4 linked regions of the Caenorhabditis elegans genome follow. The protein of the gene in region 2 purifies or fractionates together with the protein of the main gene of each other region. This does not show direct contact. Each region holds a gene or a part of one and is shown on either strand. Other genes may lie near its edges.

Region 1 (3,411 bases), on a different chromosome or scaffold from region 2:
TCGCACGAAATTGGATATTTTTACTTTCTGACTGATGTTGATCCAGTATAATCGGTGAATCTTTTAGTCGGAGTGATAGCGATTGAGGCACGTCCGTTGAGATTCAAGCCGCCCGTTTTTCTTCGATCTCCAAACATTGTCAAGAAACTGTAATGAGCGAATAAAATTGACCAGAACTGAATATACTAACGGAAGGCGACGCATATAAAATTTAAAAAAATAATTCTGGCAACTATTGAGAACTTTGTTTTCCAACTTAAAGAAGAAAAAACATTTTTACAGAAATATTTATGAAAAAAAAAACGAAAATAGAAATTTGAGTAAAAACAATATCGAGAGAGAGAGAGAGAAGTCACATTTGAATTTTCCCGCTATAGCAATTGTGATTGGAGCGCACTTACATTACAGAGACGCTGCACTCGCGAGGAAACTGATTTCCGGAGATTCCAGAATGAAGGAATTGTTGGAACTTTTGAGATATAATTTCAAACACGATTAATATACAATAGAATTGAATTTTCCTACAATGGTTAGATCATTTCCAGTCGGTATATTGATAAACAGAAGTTGCCCCTTAATATTTGCATTTTTGTAATTGAAGTTTCCAGCCAATAATTACGTCAAATTTTTTTTCTTCGAGAAACTGATATAGTTTACAATAATAAACCAGTATCTTTAACCAATGGAGTGATAACACAGAACTGGATCCTCTTATTCTTTCTCTTTTCTTTCTCCTTAACAAGAACAATTATACCAGTTCCAAGTAATAGCCATGGACGTCTCTAGTATAAAAACATCAGTTCTTTTGGAATTCTTCAGTCCATCACTCACCCTCCAACAGTAATCATGGACATCGACGCTCGTATCAAAGCTTATAAATTTGTTGCCTATTCGGCAGTCACCTTCTCGGTTGTCGCCGTTGTCTCTGTTTTCATCACATTGCCAATGGTTTATAACTATGTTAATAATGTGAAGAAACAGATTCACACTGATGTTAATTTCTGCAAGGTTTCTGCTCGTGATATCTGGAGTGAGGTGCATCTTATTAAGGATGCTCCAGGAAACAATACTCGTGTTGCTCGTCAAGCTTATTCCACTGGAGGAGCTGGAGGAGGCGGAGGCGGAGGTAAGGATCTTGGTTCACAGAGTTTAAGTATTTGAATACATTTTCAGGCGGCGGAGGATGTGATGGATGCTGCAATCCTGGACCACCAGGACCAGGTGGATCTCCCGGAAAACCAGGAAAGCCAGGAAAGCCAGGAGCTCCAGGAGCCCCAGGAAATCCAGGAAAAGGAGCATCAGCTCCATGTGAGCCAGTTACTCAACCACCATGCCAACCATGCCCAGGAGGACCACCAGGACCAGCTGGTCCAGCCGGACCACCAGGACCACCGGGACCAGATGGAAACCCAGGATCACCAGCCGGACCATCAGGCCCAGGACCAGCCGGACCACCAGGACCAGCAGGACCAGCCGGAAACGACGGAGCCCCAGGAGCCCCAGGAGGACCAGGAGAACCAGGAGCATCCGAGCAAGGAGGACCAGGAGAGCCAGGACCAGCTGGACCACCAGGACCAGCCGGACCAGCCGGAAATGACGGAGCCCCAGGAACCGGAGGACCAGGACCAGCTGGACCAAAGGGACCACCAGGAGCTGCTGGAGCACCAGGAGCTGACGGAAACCCAGGAGGACCAGGAACCGCTGGAAAGCCAGGAGGAGAAGGAGAGAAGGGAATCTGCCCCAAGTATTGTGCTATCGACGGAGGAGTCTTCTTTGAGGACGGAACCCGACGCCGCTAAATTTAGAAGCGTGCCGTTTGTGCCAAATAAAGCATTTTTCATTCAACTTCTTTGTTTATAACATCTACATACCACACGAAGAAATATTTTTAAAAACGTAATCCTCGAAATATGTTCAATAATTTTCCATTTTCAAAATTTCCGTTTATTTCTCAATATTTCAATATAACATCTGAGGGGTGTTCAAGCAAAATAATGTGCTTGTATTCACAAATATCAATTATTCTGTTTTTATTCTGGTCGTTAATGTTACAACTCATCATTGGAACGACTTGTGTCTCTAAAAATTCACAGAAGAGGTAGGTCAATATTTAAAAAAAAAACATCAAAGAGTTAATAAAATTAAGTAAGAGTTCTCGAGAAACGACGTCATCTGAAAGAGCATGTAAACCAGCGGCAACGTCAAAATCTTCATTGATTTCTGAGAAAAGTGAGAGGAGATTATCGAGTGAAAAAAGTATGAAAAAGGAGAAAATCACAGTGTAAGATTCAATATCCAATATAATTATATCTTGAAACTGTTCAGAATTGATTCTCTAAAAGTACCACGCCGGGCACCGCAAGCTCAGAGATTTACCAATTCTAGGATCTCAAGTAACAATCAAGTTTCTTTGAGAAATTCACAGAAATCTGAAACGGAATCTGCAAAAACTGAAATTATCAATGTACCATTGGGAAAGGCAGCAAAGTGAGTAAATCGCCTATCAAATGAGATTTTTAAATTATAGAATGTAGAGTAGGCTTTATTATTAGTAATCCAAATACCCTAAGTATTTATTCAGAGATGAAACATCCAGCAACATCCTCACGCCAGCAAACAAACAAAAAACAGACTTGCACACTGCACCAACTAGAAAAGCACAATTCGCTGATACTTTGAAAAGAGTTAAACGAAGAGCCACGTAAGAAAATTGTTTAAAAAAGTGTAGCGAAATCATTTTTGTTTTTCAGAAAGCCAGATGATCCGGACGAAAAAACATCGTATATCCCGTGATTGTTTGGAACTTTTTGAAGAATTGATTAGACTTGAGCAAAAATAAAGTCGTTGCTTATAAAATTTCTTTTTTATAGTTTTAAATACACAGAAATAAAATGCAATTCACTACATTTCCAAATTTTATGCATGTTAGATAATCTTTTTGGTCTCCTTCCGTTTTGAAACGCTCTTACCGAGTTGTTAAATAAGCCAGTGCCAGTCGAAACGTTAACCAAGTGTGTCTCTTTTCTCCCTCTGGGAGAAAAATATTATAACTTTTACTAACAGATTCAAAGGTTCATGTTGTCAACAGTAAAACCAGATTAGAAAATTTCTTGAAGTGAGAAAAGCTTTAATTTTCTCCAGTTAAACTTAGAATCCCAAAGATCAATGTTCAATCAGAAATCTGCCTGAAAAATATTGAATCTTCATAAGGTCTAAAATGATAGACTAATCGGAGGAGCCAACTGTACTTGAGGATATAAATTTTTCTTTTAACTTCAGCAATACAAATTCATAATCGAATTCTTTATTCAAAATCATAGTTTACTTCTTTCCATGCTTCTTTCCACTTTTTTCAGTAAGACCTGCTTCATCTGGTGTTGGTGGAGCATTGATTCCAAGAGGATCGGACTG
Region 2 (3,323 bases):
GATAACTTATCATTTCGGGTCTGAAATAATATTCGTTATTTCACACAATTTAACAGGAAAAACACCGCAATCATACTTTTTATTTCTTGCCTGTTCTAATCTTTTCATCTCTTTTGCTGTTATAAGCAGTTGGGGAGCTGGCTGCTGTGGAGGTTCTCCATCCAGCCAACCCGCGATTTTTCCAATACTGGAACTACAGAAGTTGAGCCCTGAAAAATATTAGTTTTTGTTATTTAACTATTAAATTAAAATTTCTTACAAATCGGTTCATAACTAAAGAATGGAGTTCGAATAGCTCCAAGCATTAGAACAAGGAAGATTGTCATCACGATTTGAGCTATCAATGGAGCACCGTCATATAGATTTCTGGAAAAATTAATTTACAGCTTTTTTTATGAATTCGTCAAAAAATACCTGAAGAATAAATTAAAGTGCTTCGCAGAACCAGAAAAAAACGCAAAGAATCCTCCGGAAATAGTCTCAGAAAACACTTCGATGATAGAAATCTCGTGGAAAATCGATATGGTTTGACTCTGAAATTTACAACATTTAAAATAATTTAACCCAACAAAGAAGAAATAAAACAAAAACTAACCTCAATGTACTTTAAACATTTTGATTTTTGCCGATATTGGAAAGGCGATGCGAGGATTTCAACCATTCTTGAGAGTAATCCTTCTGTAGCACAAGAATCATGAGCATGCTCTTGGAATTGTGCAAATCTTCGTGATTCTGCTTCTTGATATTTTTTGCTATAACCAGAATACATGGAAACAAGAAGAGCAGTTGAGAGAACGAGAATCCAAAAGTTTCGTGGCCGAACGATTGATCGAAGAACAACAAAAGCAGCCGCGGGCAAAATGAAGATGTTCAGTGTGAAAATGAAAGGTTGGAGAGTCACAAATGTATCCTGCCAAGTACGATCTGGAGCTGGAGGCTTCACGCTGAAAATGTTTGACAACGCGGATCGGACGGCTTCTCTCTCTTCAGCCAAATCTGCTTCATCATTTTTTAAATACTTCGAAAGAACCGACATGCTGTGCCGAGATATTTTAATTCTGCAATTCAAAGCTTAAAATATATCGGAACTAGAAGAAAATATACTCACTGTACATCTTTTTTAATTGAACCTTCCAAATGATAGTCAATTTTGGTTTCGTGGAGAAGTTGTCGAAGAATCAGACGAAGACTTTGATCAGGCTGAAACTATTGAATGGGTTATTTACGGATTTCTTTAAAGCTTTTAGTTTACCTTCTGAACTTGATTTCGAACAGATAGAAGTCGTTTTGACGCTGGCGGGCTTTCTCCAGAAGTTGGATCATTCGGATCTTTCCACACATTTTCATGTGTAAATTCTTCGTCAATGTCTTGAGTTGCGAAAAGTTGCGGGACGAGGAGTAGAAGTGTGACCCATATTATTTTCATCTGAAACAAGCGGAAAGTTGAAAGAGAAAAGATGTTTACAGCACGCTCAGCAACTGACAGGCGAGTTCATAAGATAACATAGTTGTTTGATCAATAAAATGTTGTGTTTTTCCGAGTTTTCAGATAATTCGCATTTAAACTTCACTTTTTATATTCAGAAAATTGTAAAATCGAAACATTTCAAGAATTGCGAAACAAGTTTTCAGAAGGCAAATTAATAAGTATAATACGGTTGACAATTGGTGTATGCAGAATTGTCGTGAATTTCGATGCCTGCGTACGCGAGAAATTTGCATTCATTATTTTCTTTTCCACAGTTTTCCACACTTTTCTCATCGATTTTTGCAATAATTTCATCAAATTTTCTTGTTTTTCAGTAAACTTCAAGATGAAGCTTTGGGATTCTCCGAATACCTCGTTCCCTTATTCATTTGATGAGGTTGCCAGTGCGTTTTGGGACAGGTGAGGCAGGAAATCTCGGAAAATGGTAATTTCAATTTCTAAACCCTCAGATACCCAAATTCTCATGCAAAACACATCATTTCGGAGGATGTACTCGAACGCCAGATCACTGACAACACTATTGTCACTAAAAAATTGATTGTCAAGCAAGGTATTTAGCTGATATTACAAGAGCCAGTAAATTATTCGCATAATTTTTCAGGAAGCTCGATTTTGAAACGTGTTCCTCGTTGGATTTCGAGAATGACAGATATTCAAGTTGTTCCTGTCATTGAAGAAAGTGTTTATGATAAAGTATCGAAAAAACTCGTAACATACACTCGAAATGTTTCACACATTTCTCTATTTCAACTCCATGAACGATGCATTTACAAATCATCCGAGGTTTATCATTGTTATTTCAAATCTCTATTTACTGTTATTTTTCAGGATAATCAGCAGCATCACCCAGCCCTTCTCACTGACGTACTGCGAAGTGTCACAGTTTCAATCGATTGTGGTCGAATGAGCTCAGTTTACGAGAAAGTCCTACTAATGGGCTTCAAAAAATCGATCAATAACACAACGAAAGGGTTGTTTGAGAAGCTAGAAGAGCGATTTGGAGTCAAAAACGTTGCTAATGAGAAAATGAAAATGATCAAGGAAAAGATTATCAAGTCATCGTCAAATCTCGTCACTCATGTCCAATGCGAAGAGGATGTCTAGTCAGCCATACTGAATATAAATCTCAAACATTCACTTTTTCCCGTTATTTTCATTTATGTCCCCCCAAAAAAATCTCAATTCTCATAGAATTACTGAATCTTCTGCACATTCTTTGCATTGAACTGAGACCATTATTTGTTTGTTATTTGGCTCTCAATCTCTCCTGATAAATGTACATATTCAATTTATTTTTTGAATTTTTTTTGGCTATTTTCTGGTTATTTACCAGCTATTGTTATCTTTCTTGACCTTTTTTGTCTGAATTACATTATAATCTATCATAATCTCCAATATTTAGGCTCTTCTCAATAAGGCTTTTCAAAACTCCTTCAAAAAGCTTCTTGGTCTTCGATCAACGATATGGCGAGTACTATTTACCGGTGAGTGACCTCCCAAAAGTTTCTGGAACACGGCAGTTGTTCCACTTGAATCAGCAAAAAATAACCATCAATCACAAGAAAAAGAGACATAGATATCAAAAGAAAATCCCCTGTTGCAGCCTGATCACAATCGTCTCGCTTCTCTCATTGCTCCATTGTGCCTATTCCGCCGCCCAACACCGTTTCTACCTGCGTCTCACTGAGCAACCGTTCATCAATCTCCCATCCGACGTCGTCGCTCAGACAGTTATCTCCTTGATTGCACTGATCTACGGAACTTCCTTCCTGGCCAATCCATTCCTTTTCATAAAGAAGGATCAAGTGAGTTGGAGGAGAGATTCATGAAAATT
Region 3 (3,141 bases), 5.8 Mb from region 2:
ATGAAAGGAACCGAGTTGGCGGTGAAAAAGAAGAAATAAGAAAATTTGGAGAAATTTGCAAATTCAAATAGTATTAAATCTGTTCAATGTATTCCCTCACACCTTAATTTTTTTGTTTTGAAATTCGGTCTTTCTTTATTTATTAAATACCCGTGTGTTTCTAAGTATGGGTTGTATTCGTATTTTCGGTTCCATAAAGATTCATGAAGAACTTTCTCTTATCGTTTTGAACATATCCGCTTGGTGAATTATCAGTGCCAATTTAAATATTACACATACGCGAACATTTTCGATTTTCGGGCAGAAAAAAAAGGTATTAGGTCTCGCCACGCTTTTTTTGTGAGATAAAAACGAGGGTGTGCCTTTAAAGAGTACTGTAAGTGTCGAGACCTGGTGCCGCATTTTGGACCCAAGATTTCGCGTCTGGGGGATAAATTGTTCTAAATTTTTAAGATGTTAATCCATTTTCAGATTAAATCAAAATGCCTTCAAAATACATGCAATTGGCGAAGGAAATCATCAAAAATTATGGAACCAAGGGTCAATTCGGATGTGTTTCCGGAGCAGGAAATGTGAGAGCAGTTCATGCGGAGGAAGGAAATCTACGAGTGGAATTTGAAGTTGAGAAAGATCAGTCAAACCATTTTAACACTCTTCACGGTGGATGTACATCTACGCTCATTGATATTTTCACTACTGGGGCTCTTCTTCTCACAAAACCAGCTAGGCCAGGAGTATCTGTTGATTTGCATGTTACGTACGTAAAGAGAGAAGAAAATTGTCGAATTTGATAGATTTTTAGATACCTGACCGCCGCTAAAATTGGTGAGACCCTTGTGCTCGACTCCACCGTCATCAAACAAGGAAAAACTCTTGCATTCACAAAGGTAAACTTTAAGAAAAGTTTTAAAAATATTATTTTTTTCCAGGCAGAACTCTACCGTAAAAGTGATAATGTAATGATTGCAACTGGAGTACATACCAAAGCATTCCCAACTGTGAAGAAAGCAAACTAATCAATATATTCCAAGACATGGAAATTTGCGATCCGTGCGCCAAAAATACGGTATCCGGTCTCGACACAAAATGTTTTGGTTAAATGAAAAAAGGTGTGCTTCTTTGATGAGTACTGTAATTTTAGACTCTCGTTGTTGTTGAAATTTCATTGATTTTTCAACAATTTCCCATCAATTTTCGATAAAAAAAACATTTATTAATTTATTTTAAAACTCCCATACATCAATTAAAACTTTTTTTTTTCAGAAAATCGCGAAAAAAAATCAAGAGTTGGAATTTCCAGTAAACTTTAATGGCGCACACACCTTTTCCCGTTATAAAAAAAGTTTTCGTGTCGAGACCGGCTACCGTGATTTCTGCCCAAAAATCGCAAAATTTCGTGTCTGGAATACCTCCTAAACATAATTCCTAGACACAATTTCTAATTTGATCGTTTTGAAAAACATTTCCCTTGTGTACAAAACTATTATTCCGCAATAAAATTGTAAAGAATTCTTGTTTTTTTTCCAATTTTCCATAAATACTCGTTTTAATCCGAGTACTCTGTACATGTTTTGATGGTAAGAGAATCCACGCAAGTCTACGTGGTTATGAGATTTTTGTTTTGAAACAAATATTTTTAAATCATATATTTTTTCTAAGATTGCTTGAAAATGGCATCAAAATACATGCAAATTGCGAAGGAAGTGATCAAAATGTTCGGGACAAAAGGACAATTCGGTTATGCGGCTGGAGCACGGAATGTGAGAGCAGTTCATGCGGAGGAAGGAAATCTACGAGTGGAATTCGAAGTTGAAAAGGATCAGACAAATCAATTCGAGACACTTCATGGTGGATGTACAGCAGCACTTATCGATTGTTTCACAACTGGTGCTCTTCTACTCACAAAGGAAGCGAGGCCTGGTGTTTCAGTGGATTTGCATATTACGTGAGTATCTATATCTAAATAGAGGTTTCCTAGATTATGCAATGATTTGAAACATATAAGTCTTGCGAACAAGTGCAATATTTAAGCCAAAATTCAGTGTGGGGTCCCACCACGACCGAAATGTTCTCAGCTACGGTACCAACGAACTTTTTCTAATGTTTTCTAATTTTTCCATTCCAACCTTTAATTTAAAACTACAGATTTATTGCAAAACCAACAAAAAAGAGAAATCTACCGTACTCACGAGTACGGTAACTGAAAAGTTTCGCTCATTCTAGTACCCCCATACCTATATTTTAGCTTTATAATCGTTCATTTTCGTAAACTAATAATGCCAGAAATTCAGGAGAAAATATTTATGATCATCGTAACTTCCAGATACTTGACAGCTGCAAACATCGGAGAAACTCTTGTACTCAACTCTACTGTCATCAAACAGGGGCGCTCTCTTGGATTCACTAAGGTATCATATTTTTTTATTCTTGAATATTTCTGATTACAAAAGTGTTTTATTTCAGGCAGAACTCTATCGTAAAAGGGACAATGCAATGATTGCTACTGGAGTCCACACCAAGGCGTTCCCAAAGTGATCGCTCACCATAAAATAAATAATGTTATATGCAAATTAAACTAGAATTATTTTACCATGTATTCCATTTCATTTCAGAAAATAAATATCTTTATCAATATATGTGTTTGTTTGCCATTAAAAAACACAAATATCGGAAGTGAGAGATCATTTGTTGTAAGGATAATGTGTTTTAAAGGCTCCGTATCACACGCCAACGCTCTGAGTTGATGCTCAGTGAAATACCAAAAGTGACGAAGAAGCTCAAAATTCATATTTTTTGGATGCAAATCATAGAAAGAAGTCTTATAAAAAATTCCATTAAAAAATTCCGAACATATCTTGCTGCGGTTATGTTGGAGGCAAGAAAAAAAAAAGAAATCATAATCGCCTTCGATCACTTTTTTTATACACATTGTTTATCATGAAAACTTATTCCAAAACAAGATACCAAAATTCACCACAAATATTCTAAAATTTTCAATTGCCTTATAACCAATGATGGCTGTTTCGAGAAGTTTGTACTTTTGAAGAATCCAATTTCAAGTTCCTCTTTTCCTTCGTCTAGATCCCGAGACACTTTCCACGTCGTTGGTGTTTTCTGGCAACTCTCATTTTTCAGTAAAAT
Region 4 (7,443 bases), on a different chromosome or scaffold from region 2:
AAGGTGGAGGCGGTCCCCAAGGCCGAAGAGGTCCTGGAAAAAACCAATCTGTAAACCGGAACGTATTTCATTATTTTTATACTTCCGTTTTTATCAAATTCCAGGCAAAATTTTTCAATTTTCAGATAAAAAAATAAGTAAGTGTCAGCTGATGGCGATAATTTTTCAAGGAATTCTTACCTGGAGGAGGAGGCCGTTCAAAAAAATCAGGTTGCGTCAGACAAGTAACAAACTGTGATATCAGTATGCTTACAAATAACATTTTGCTCTCGGCGGCAAGTATATGCCAAGTTTAATCAAAATGAAAGACCAAGTAAAAAAATTTACAGCATGAACTAGTTCAGGGTTTAATCGGTAATAACAACACAAATTTGGTACGCGGGAAGACCTGTAAGGTGTTTGCATCGTTTTGTCTCATTCGGCCAATCAAATATAAAGGTCGTAGAAGTTTTAATTGGGGGAATCTTTGAGAGTGAAAAGAAGATGAAATTACGCGTGGCCTCAAAAAGTTTTTTTTTGATGGCAAGATGATTGGTGAACACAAACATTTGACTATCAGTGGATGTTACTTTGAAATATTATAAAAACTCAGCAAATGGCAATTTTCAAGATCATACCATGCAGAAGATCAAGACAGAAATCTGGGGATGAATCAGACAAAGTCGCCGAATTGATCCAAATTATGTTTCGCTGAACTTCAACTATTTTTTCTTGTGTTCTTAATCAGGGTTCCCAGAAAAATGATGGTCTAGACTCACGTACTAAGTTTATAGCATTCAAGTTTTGCATGTGTATTGTAGAAATAGACTTCTAACGTTTTAATGATAGACTACAAAAAAGGGTGGAAAATCTGGATATGGGTACTGTGTTAATAATCAACGTATTATTATTACTGTAGCTTTTGTCAATTCTACACTTTGCCTATCTACACATTGTATCTACACATCTACACATTGCAATTGCTTGCAAACGCCTTTTCATAAAACTGAAACGCAATTTTTTGTTAAAATTAAAAAAATTCTTAGGAAATATAGCAAATTCCTTGAAAGGTAAACACGTATTACTTGAAAATATTTCATTAATTGACACCAAACATTACATATGGATTATTGTCGTCAGTGGAAATTTTGTCCGAAAATTTTTATTGCAATCCAGATCATCATAAAACAGTCTAAATTTTCAAAGTTTTTTTTGAAAAAAAAATCATTAAACGTATGTTATCAAGTTTATACATAGTTTAGGCTCCTTGATAAATTAAGAGTAGTGTCGCTGTACAATGTTCCAGTACAAGTGTATAAGATTTAATTAGAATATTATTTTTTTAAATTTCTATTATTTTTCAAATCGACTACCAATTTTATGTGAGCAAAGCTGATTAATCACAACTTTTTGGCTGCAAATGAAAATACTTCAAAATTTATTTATTTAACATTATAGAAGTGGTTCCATACATTTTAACTACATTCGCTACTCACCATTTATGGTGCCTTGTTTTAAAAACACTCATTAACCCGTTTTCATATGTATTTTCAGCGTCTCGTTATGTTTACTGTGTGTTATAATTAACAATTCAATTTTTTGAATGGTGTTGTAAGATTTTAAAGATTTTGAACAAGAAAACAGAATAACCTTCCCCTAAATCATTTTTCATCATAAATCACGCCGACATGATATTCAGTCGGCTCATATCACCATTTTACACCCTTTTCAACTTTGTGCCTTTCTTGTCATGCTTTTCTCTTTACCCTCCACTCAATTTTTCTTTTTCTCTTCAGAAACAGTACATCTTAATAGGTGATAACATTGAATTACAGACAACCCGCATCAAAACTTGGTCTCCAACAGTGACACGTACTCTCATTCCTTTGCTCGCCTTCTGCGCTATCCGATTAGTGGAGCATGTAATGTACGAAAACGCTTACAAGAGGTGGTGGAAAAAGAAAGTGGAAATGATAAAATTTATGAGTGAAATATTTAAGCGAGTAGGAGAAGCACTATTAAGAACAGTGCGGTTCAACTTGATAAAGAGACGCAGCAAGAAATTGGTGAGGACACAGTCATCGAGCCAACGCACCTATTGCCCACCTCCATACTCCTCCTTCTTCTTCATTTCTTGCCTCAAATACCGCGACAGGCTCATTCCTCGTCAGTATCGCCACTATGGGCTACTCGGAGAGTCGCTCGGAGAGCGTTAGCTCGAAAGGTAACTGATTCATCATATAAAAGTTCAATAAAGCATAATACATTTATTAAGACGGTTAAGCCTGAATATTATACCACCCATGTAGTTTAATTTTTAAGATATTGTAACATTACACAGTATTTGAATGTTTTAATAGTTTGTTCAATTGTATTTCTCTCGAAATATGATTCGCATGTGGTCAATCATCCAGTCGCAGATTTTAAAGATCCACTTTCCAGTTAAGGCTGGGGTACCCCTCACGTTTTATACTCGTGACCCCTAGTTGCTAGCGACTACCATTAACAACTGGGCTCCTGTTGAAAACTGTAATCCAATAATTTTGTATTACTTATGAGTAACAAGAACCCTCAACTAATAAATCTAATATTAATGCAGATTTTGCAACACACTGTACGGAACAAAATAACTTACCTCCAGCATACCGAAACATCATTTCCAGATTGTTTTATTGTTTTGTAAAATACAATTCTTCTTAACAGCCGCTAAAACTAGTGATAATGGCATTTATCTAAAATTAGATGGATTATAACTAATCTTGCCGCGTGGGAAATTTTATCTATCAAAAAAAAAGGCGACAAGAGTAAATTTCAGAGTTTTTGATCGAAAATCGACAGAACGAGTTTTTCAGGCAAAACATCATACGGCCATGAACTCGAAACAGTACCACTACCGGAAAAGAAAATCTACACAACATGGCCTGATATGATCAGGCATTGGCCTAAAACAACACTGTGCATCGTGTCCAACGAATTCTGCGAACGATTCTCATACTATGGAATGAGAAGTGAGTTGCTTTATTTGTTAGGGTAAAAGTGTAAAGGATATAATAGATCCTTTAAACAGCCTTAAACATTTCTGATGTATCAATAATCTACAAAAAATATTTTTATTTGTACATATATTTTTAGTTTAGTTTAAGAGGTAAGGTGAAGAAAAAGTAGAGTTAAACCTTATTTTGATTTTCGGCCGGTGGGTGGACATTTTCAGATAAGGGTATTATCAACATTTACTTTAAGTACATGGTACTCAAAAAGTGAATTTCCTATCTACATGCCAGTATATTTAAAAATCGAAAGTTTTGACACATGAAATGCAAATAAGACATTTTTTCACCGATATCACTAAAAGGTCATAATCCGGTTATTACCATAATGATTATGACGTTGGCAGTACAGAAGATCAATTGAAACGTGACACGAAAAATTTGCAGCGGTCTTGACATTCTACCTGCTTAACGTACTAAAGTTCACCGACTCACAATCTACGATCTTCTTCAATGGATTTACTGTGCTTTGCTATACCACACCACTTCTCGGATCAATTGTTGCGGACGGATACATTGGAAAATTCTGGTATGTAATAATTGTTGTTTTGCACTCAATAACGACTTTTCAGGACAATCTTCTCTGTCTCAATTCTATACGCAATCGGACAAGTCGTGCTCGCTCTCGCTTCTACTAAGAATTTTCAATCTTCAGTTCACCCGTAAGTGATGCTTGTTCCAGTATTCGACGCATAAACTTATCATGCAACTTTTCCGTCTTTACGAATTCCTCTCGATTGAAACAAGGCATGATGATAAGAACTTCAACCGTGGCAACTTTTGCCCGACAGTGCACGCGCCACATTAAACATTAAAAAACTGAAACCGAACAAAATTAAAAAGGGTTCACAAGAAATAAACTGCTGAATTTTCAGATGGATGGATCTGTCTGGATTACTGATCATTGCGTTCGGTACCGGAGGAATCAAGCCATGTGTGTCTGCATTCGGAGGAGATCAATTCGAGTTAGGACAAGAAAGAATGCTCTCACTCTTCTTTTCCATGTTCTACTTTTCCATCAACGCAGGATCTATGATCTCTACTTTCATCTCTCCCATCTTCAGATGTAAACTTGACAATTCTTAAAACACTATTAGAGTACAATAATTTCAGCTCAACCATGCCTTGGACAAGATTCCTGCTACCCAATGGCTTTTGGTATTCCGGCTATTCTTATGATTGTTGCAACACGTGAGATAAAATATTCAAAAATCACATTGACTATTAAACTCTTACAGTGGTATTTATGGGAGGTTCATTTTGGTACAAGAAGAACCCACCAAAGGACAACGTGTTCGGAGAAGTATCTCGTCTTATGTTTGTAAGTTTTTGTTTTGTTTTATTTCTAAACTGCTTTGAAACCAAGATTAAATATTCAGAGAGCTGTTGGAAACAAAATGAAGTCAGGATCCACACCAAAGGAACACTGGCTCCTTCACTACCTTACTACTCACGACTGTGCTCTTGATGCAAAATGCCTCGAACTCCAAGCTGAGAAAAGAAACAAGAATCTGTGCCAAAAGAAAAAATTCATCGATGATGTCCGTTCCCTACTCCGTGTTCTTGTCATGTTCTTGCCAGTACCAATGTTCTGGGCACTTTACGATCAGCAAGGATCTGTCTGGCTCATTCAAGGTTTGTAAAGTTCTAGATAACAATTTAAAAATGATCAAATTGGGGAGTCAGCTGCAGAATTCCTTGTGGTGCACCCACTGGGTTTTAGCTTAAGCTACAATCAAGCCGGGGGGCTAAGTCAGCCGTTGATTAATCTAATTCCCAGCGTTGGCTTAGTGAACCTAGGAGTGCAATTTTGTGATTGCTAGCGACCACCACTACCGACTGAGACATCCCCGCTCTTCACATGTTAAAAATGTGTTTTTTCAGCTATTCAAATGGATTGTCGTCTTTCTGACACCCTTCTCCTTCTTCCGGATCAAATGCAGACATTGAACGCCGTGCTTATTCTTCTCTTTATCCCACTCTTTCAGGTCATCATCTACCCAGTCGCTGCCAAGTGTGTCCGACTTACGTGAGTTTTCATTGAAATAAAATTATTTGTGTATAATGAATTATTATATTTTAGACCTTTGAGAAAAATGGTCACTGGAGGGCTTCTCGCGTCACTTGCCTTTTTGATCACTGGATTTGTTCAACTTCAAGTCAATGTAATTTCAAATAAAATTGTTCCATAATTTATTAATTCTTTACAGACTACTCTTCCAACTCTCCCGGAAGAAGGAGAAGCATCAATTAGTTTCTGGAACCAGTTTGAAACTGATTGCACCATTACCGTTATGTCTGGAATTCACAAGAGAGTTCTTCCCCATGACAAGGTTTGAGATTCGAATTTGATTCTTTTCACTTTTAACTTTCTCCTCCTAAGTTCTAAACGAAAGATCATGCCATTTTAAGTGCTGATAAGAAAAAAGGAAGTCAGAAAAAGTTATCGTAAAATTATTTAATTTATTGCCTTTGTCATGAATTACTATACGTATTTACACAACAACGTTTCAGTATCTTCACGAAGATAAAAAGAACAAGTCTGGAATTTATAATCTTTTTACAACAAAATCCCCCGCAAAAGGTAATGGCGATTGGACTCTCACATATGACCTCAGCTATGACGGCGCTTGCGGAGATACATCAAAATTGGAGAAAACTGTTAAAGTGACTGCCAAGAGCAAGAAGATCATCTACGTTGGAGTCGGATCATTTGGATATTACCAAAACACAGCTAACACTGATAAGCCAACTGATGGAACTGGAGAATTCTCTATGGGGTAGGGGTGTTCATAACACGGAACAATGGTTAAATAATATATAAATTCCAGAATTGTCACTGTATTCAATTCTTCATACGGAGGAAACTTTGCCATGTGCCGTCAAAATACAAGCGACTTTGATGTTAACCATCCATGTAATCCAAGACATCCTGCTGACTTTTACTTCTGGGAAACCGATTATAATAGTCATACCGATGACAGAGATCAAAACGCTACAATTACTGGATCTCTTAGTTCCCAACCGGCTGTAACTTACAAGCAGAAATCTGTAAAGCCAGGATATTGGCAGTTGTACTACCTTTTGAATACACCAAAAGATGTAGACCGGCAGACTTACAACAAAACAGCAACACTCGTTGCTCCAACAAATTACGGTTTTCACAGAGTTAAGCAGGGAGGTGTGTTCATCTATGCATTGACCGGAACATACGAAAATCCAAAGATCCACGAGCTTCAAATTGTACAGTCCAATAGTGTGTCGATTCTTTGGCAGATTCCACAAATCGTTGTCATCACGGCAGCAGAAATTTTGTTCTCAATTACCGGATACGAATTTGCATATTCTCAGGTAATGTTAATAGTTAAAATTTATAATTTATAATGCTATTCTAACTGTAAATATTACAGTCTGCCCCATCAATGAAAGCTCTGGTACAAGCCCTCTGGCTCTTGACCACTGCTGCTGGAGATTCCATCATTGTAGTCATCACAATCCTTAACTTATTTGAAAATATGGCCGTCGAATTCTTTGTCTATGCTGCTGCGATGTTTGTAGTTATTGCCATCTTTGCTCTTCTCTCCATTTTCTATTATACTTACAATTATTATACAACTGATGAAGAGGACGGTGAAATTGGAGTTGATGATGAGGAAGAAATTGAGGATCACAATCCACGATATTCAATTGATAACAAAGGTTTCCATCCGGACGAAAAAGATACTTTCGATATGCATTTTTAATTAAATCCTAATATGTATAAATTTTCAATTTTGTTTTCCTAAACCTACTACTGTTGCTTTCCCTTATTGTGACATCGTGATAAAATTCGTTTTCACTTGAAAAAATAAATATTTCTAAAAACTTTGTTCATGTCCACTCTCACAACAACAGCCGAACTGCATCTTGATTCTGTCGTTTTGCGACCAAACACATTTCTTATTCCATTGCAAAAGTCTCTGAACTCAAAAATAGGAGCCAAATTTGAAAGTTGGCATGCGACGACCGGATGAGTATATCCGGTCTAAAGCTTTGTAAGCTAGTGGAGGACGGACAATAGCTTGTTGCCGGGGGCTCTCTCATTATCTGCTTTTTTTTGGATTTGCTCACGACACACTGGGCGACTAAATATGACGGATGAATTAACATCACCTTCTCTCAAATCTGGAAATGTTCTGGCTCTACTTAACACACTTTACACTTCCGGATTTGCAATGGCGTCCTCCAGCACTCCATTGCTCAAAGGTTTGACTCTTGGGCAAATAATTTTTTGTCATTTTAATTTTTTCACTTATAGGCAGAGTAGCAAGTTTTATTATCACGGTAATAGTCTTCAAACATTTTAATTAATCAATTAAATTTGATGAATTAAAACATTTCAGGGCGTTTTAAAATTTCGAAAAATTATGGCCGAGTT

What was found.
Region 1: the proteins of prel-1 (region 2) and W01B6.8 fractionate together in Caenorhabditis elegans (co-fractionation; one large-scale study listed by BioGRID). This does not show direct contact.
Region 3: the proteins of prel-1 (region 2) and C25H3.14 fractionate together in Caenorhabditis elegans (co-fractionation; one large-scale study listed by BioGRID). This does not show direct contact.
Region 4: the proteins of prel-1 (region 2) and pept-1 fractionate together in Caenorhabditis elegans (co-fractionation; one large-scale study listed by BioGRID). This does not show direct contact.

What each region holds. Positions count from the first base shown.
Region 1 is NC_003282.8:10,082,873-10,086,283, reverse strand, and holds W01B6.8 (uncharacterized protein), read left to right. Parts: upstream 1-1,910; coding exon 1,911-2,098; intron 2,099-2,146; coding exon 2,147-2,281; intron 2,282-2,325; coding exon 2,326-2,487; intron 2,488-2,581; coding exon 2,582-2,701; intron 2,702-2,750; coding exon 2,751-2,793; 3' UTR 2,794-2,898; downstream 2,899-3,411. Other genes in the region: Kinetochore protein ndc-80, read right to left, coding at 25-137; col-2 (Cuticle collagen 2), read left to right, coding at 847-1,126, 1,174-1,799.
Region 2 is NC_003280.10:11,493,889-11,497,211, forward strand, and holds prel-1 (PRELI/MSF1 domain-containing protein), read left to right. Parts: upstream 1-1,803; 5' UTR 1,804-1,814; coding exon 1,815-1,888; intron 1,889-1,938; coding exon 1,939-2,039; intron 2,040-2,090; coding exon 2,091-2,272; intron 2,273-2,317; coding exon 2,318-2,593; 3' UTR 2,594-2,775; downstream 2,776-3,323. Other genes in the region: ooc-3 (Chloride channel CLIC-like protein 1), read right to left, coding at 1-20, 77-209, 260-366, 415-533, 596-1,058, 1,109-1,206, 1,253-1,426; emc-5 (Membrane magnesium transporter), read left to right, coding at 2,954-2,973, 3,093-3,294.
Region 3 is NC_003280.10:5,693,724-5,696,864, forward strand, and holds C25H3.14 (Acyl-coenzyme A thioesterase 13), read left to right. Parts: upstream 1-1,659; 5' UTR 1,660-1,670; coding exon 1,671-1,945; intron 1,946-2,323; coding exon 2,324-2,408; intron 2,409-2,463; coding exon 2,464-2,535; 3' UTR 2,536-2,635; downstream 2,636-3,141. Other genes in the region: eif-2D (SUI1 domain-containing protein), read left to right, coding at 1-39; C25H3.3 (Acyl-coenzyme A thioesterase 13), read left to right, coding at 483-757, 803-887, 930-1,016; C25H3.10 (F-box domain-containing protein), read right to left, coding at 2,971-3,141.
Region 4 is NC_003284.9:6,454,873-6,462,315, forward strand, and holds pept-1 (Peptide transporter family 1), read left to right. Parts: upstream 1-1,999; 5' UTR 2,000-2,160; coding exon 2,161-2,203; intron 2,204-2,831; coding exon 2,832-2,987; intron 2,988-3,413; coding exon 3,414-3,555; intron 3,556-3,598; coding exon 3,599-3,688; intron 3,689-3,901; coding exon 3,902-4,092; intron 4,093-4,139; coding exon 4,140-4,217; intron 4,218-4,264; coding exon 4,265-4,347; intron 4,348-4,405; coding exon 4,406-4,661; intron 4,662-4,910; coding exon 4,911-5,055; intron 5,056-5,109; coding exon 5,110-5,191; intron 5,192-5,236; coding exon 5,237-5,359; intron 5,360-5,540; coding exon 5,541-5,806; intron 5,807-5,857; coding exon 5,858-6,377; intron 6,378-6,436; coding exon 6,437-6,769; 3' UTR 6,770-6,895; downstream 6,896-7,443. Other genes in the region: Zinc metalloproteinase nas-33, read right to left, coding at 1-48, 181-262; K04E7.1 (Serpentine Receptor, class BC (Class B-like)), read left to right, coding at 7,157-7,271. UniProt on the Caenorhabditis elegans protein: Low-affinity peptide transporter that is necessary for proton-dependent uptake of di- or tripeptides, and to a minor extent tetrapeptides, in the intestine. Transport is independent of sodium and chloride ions.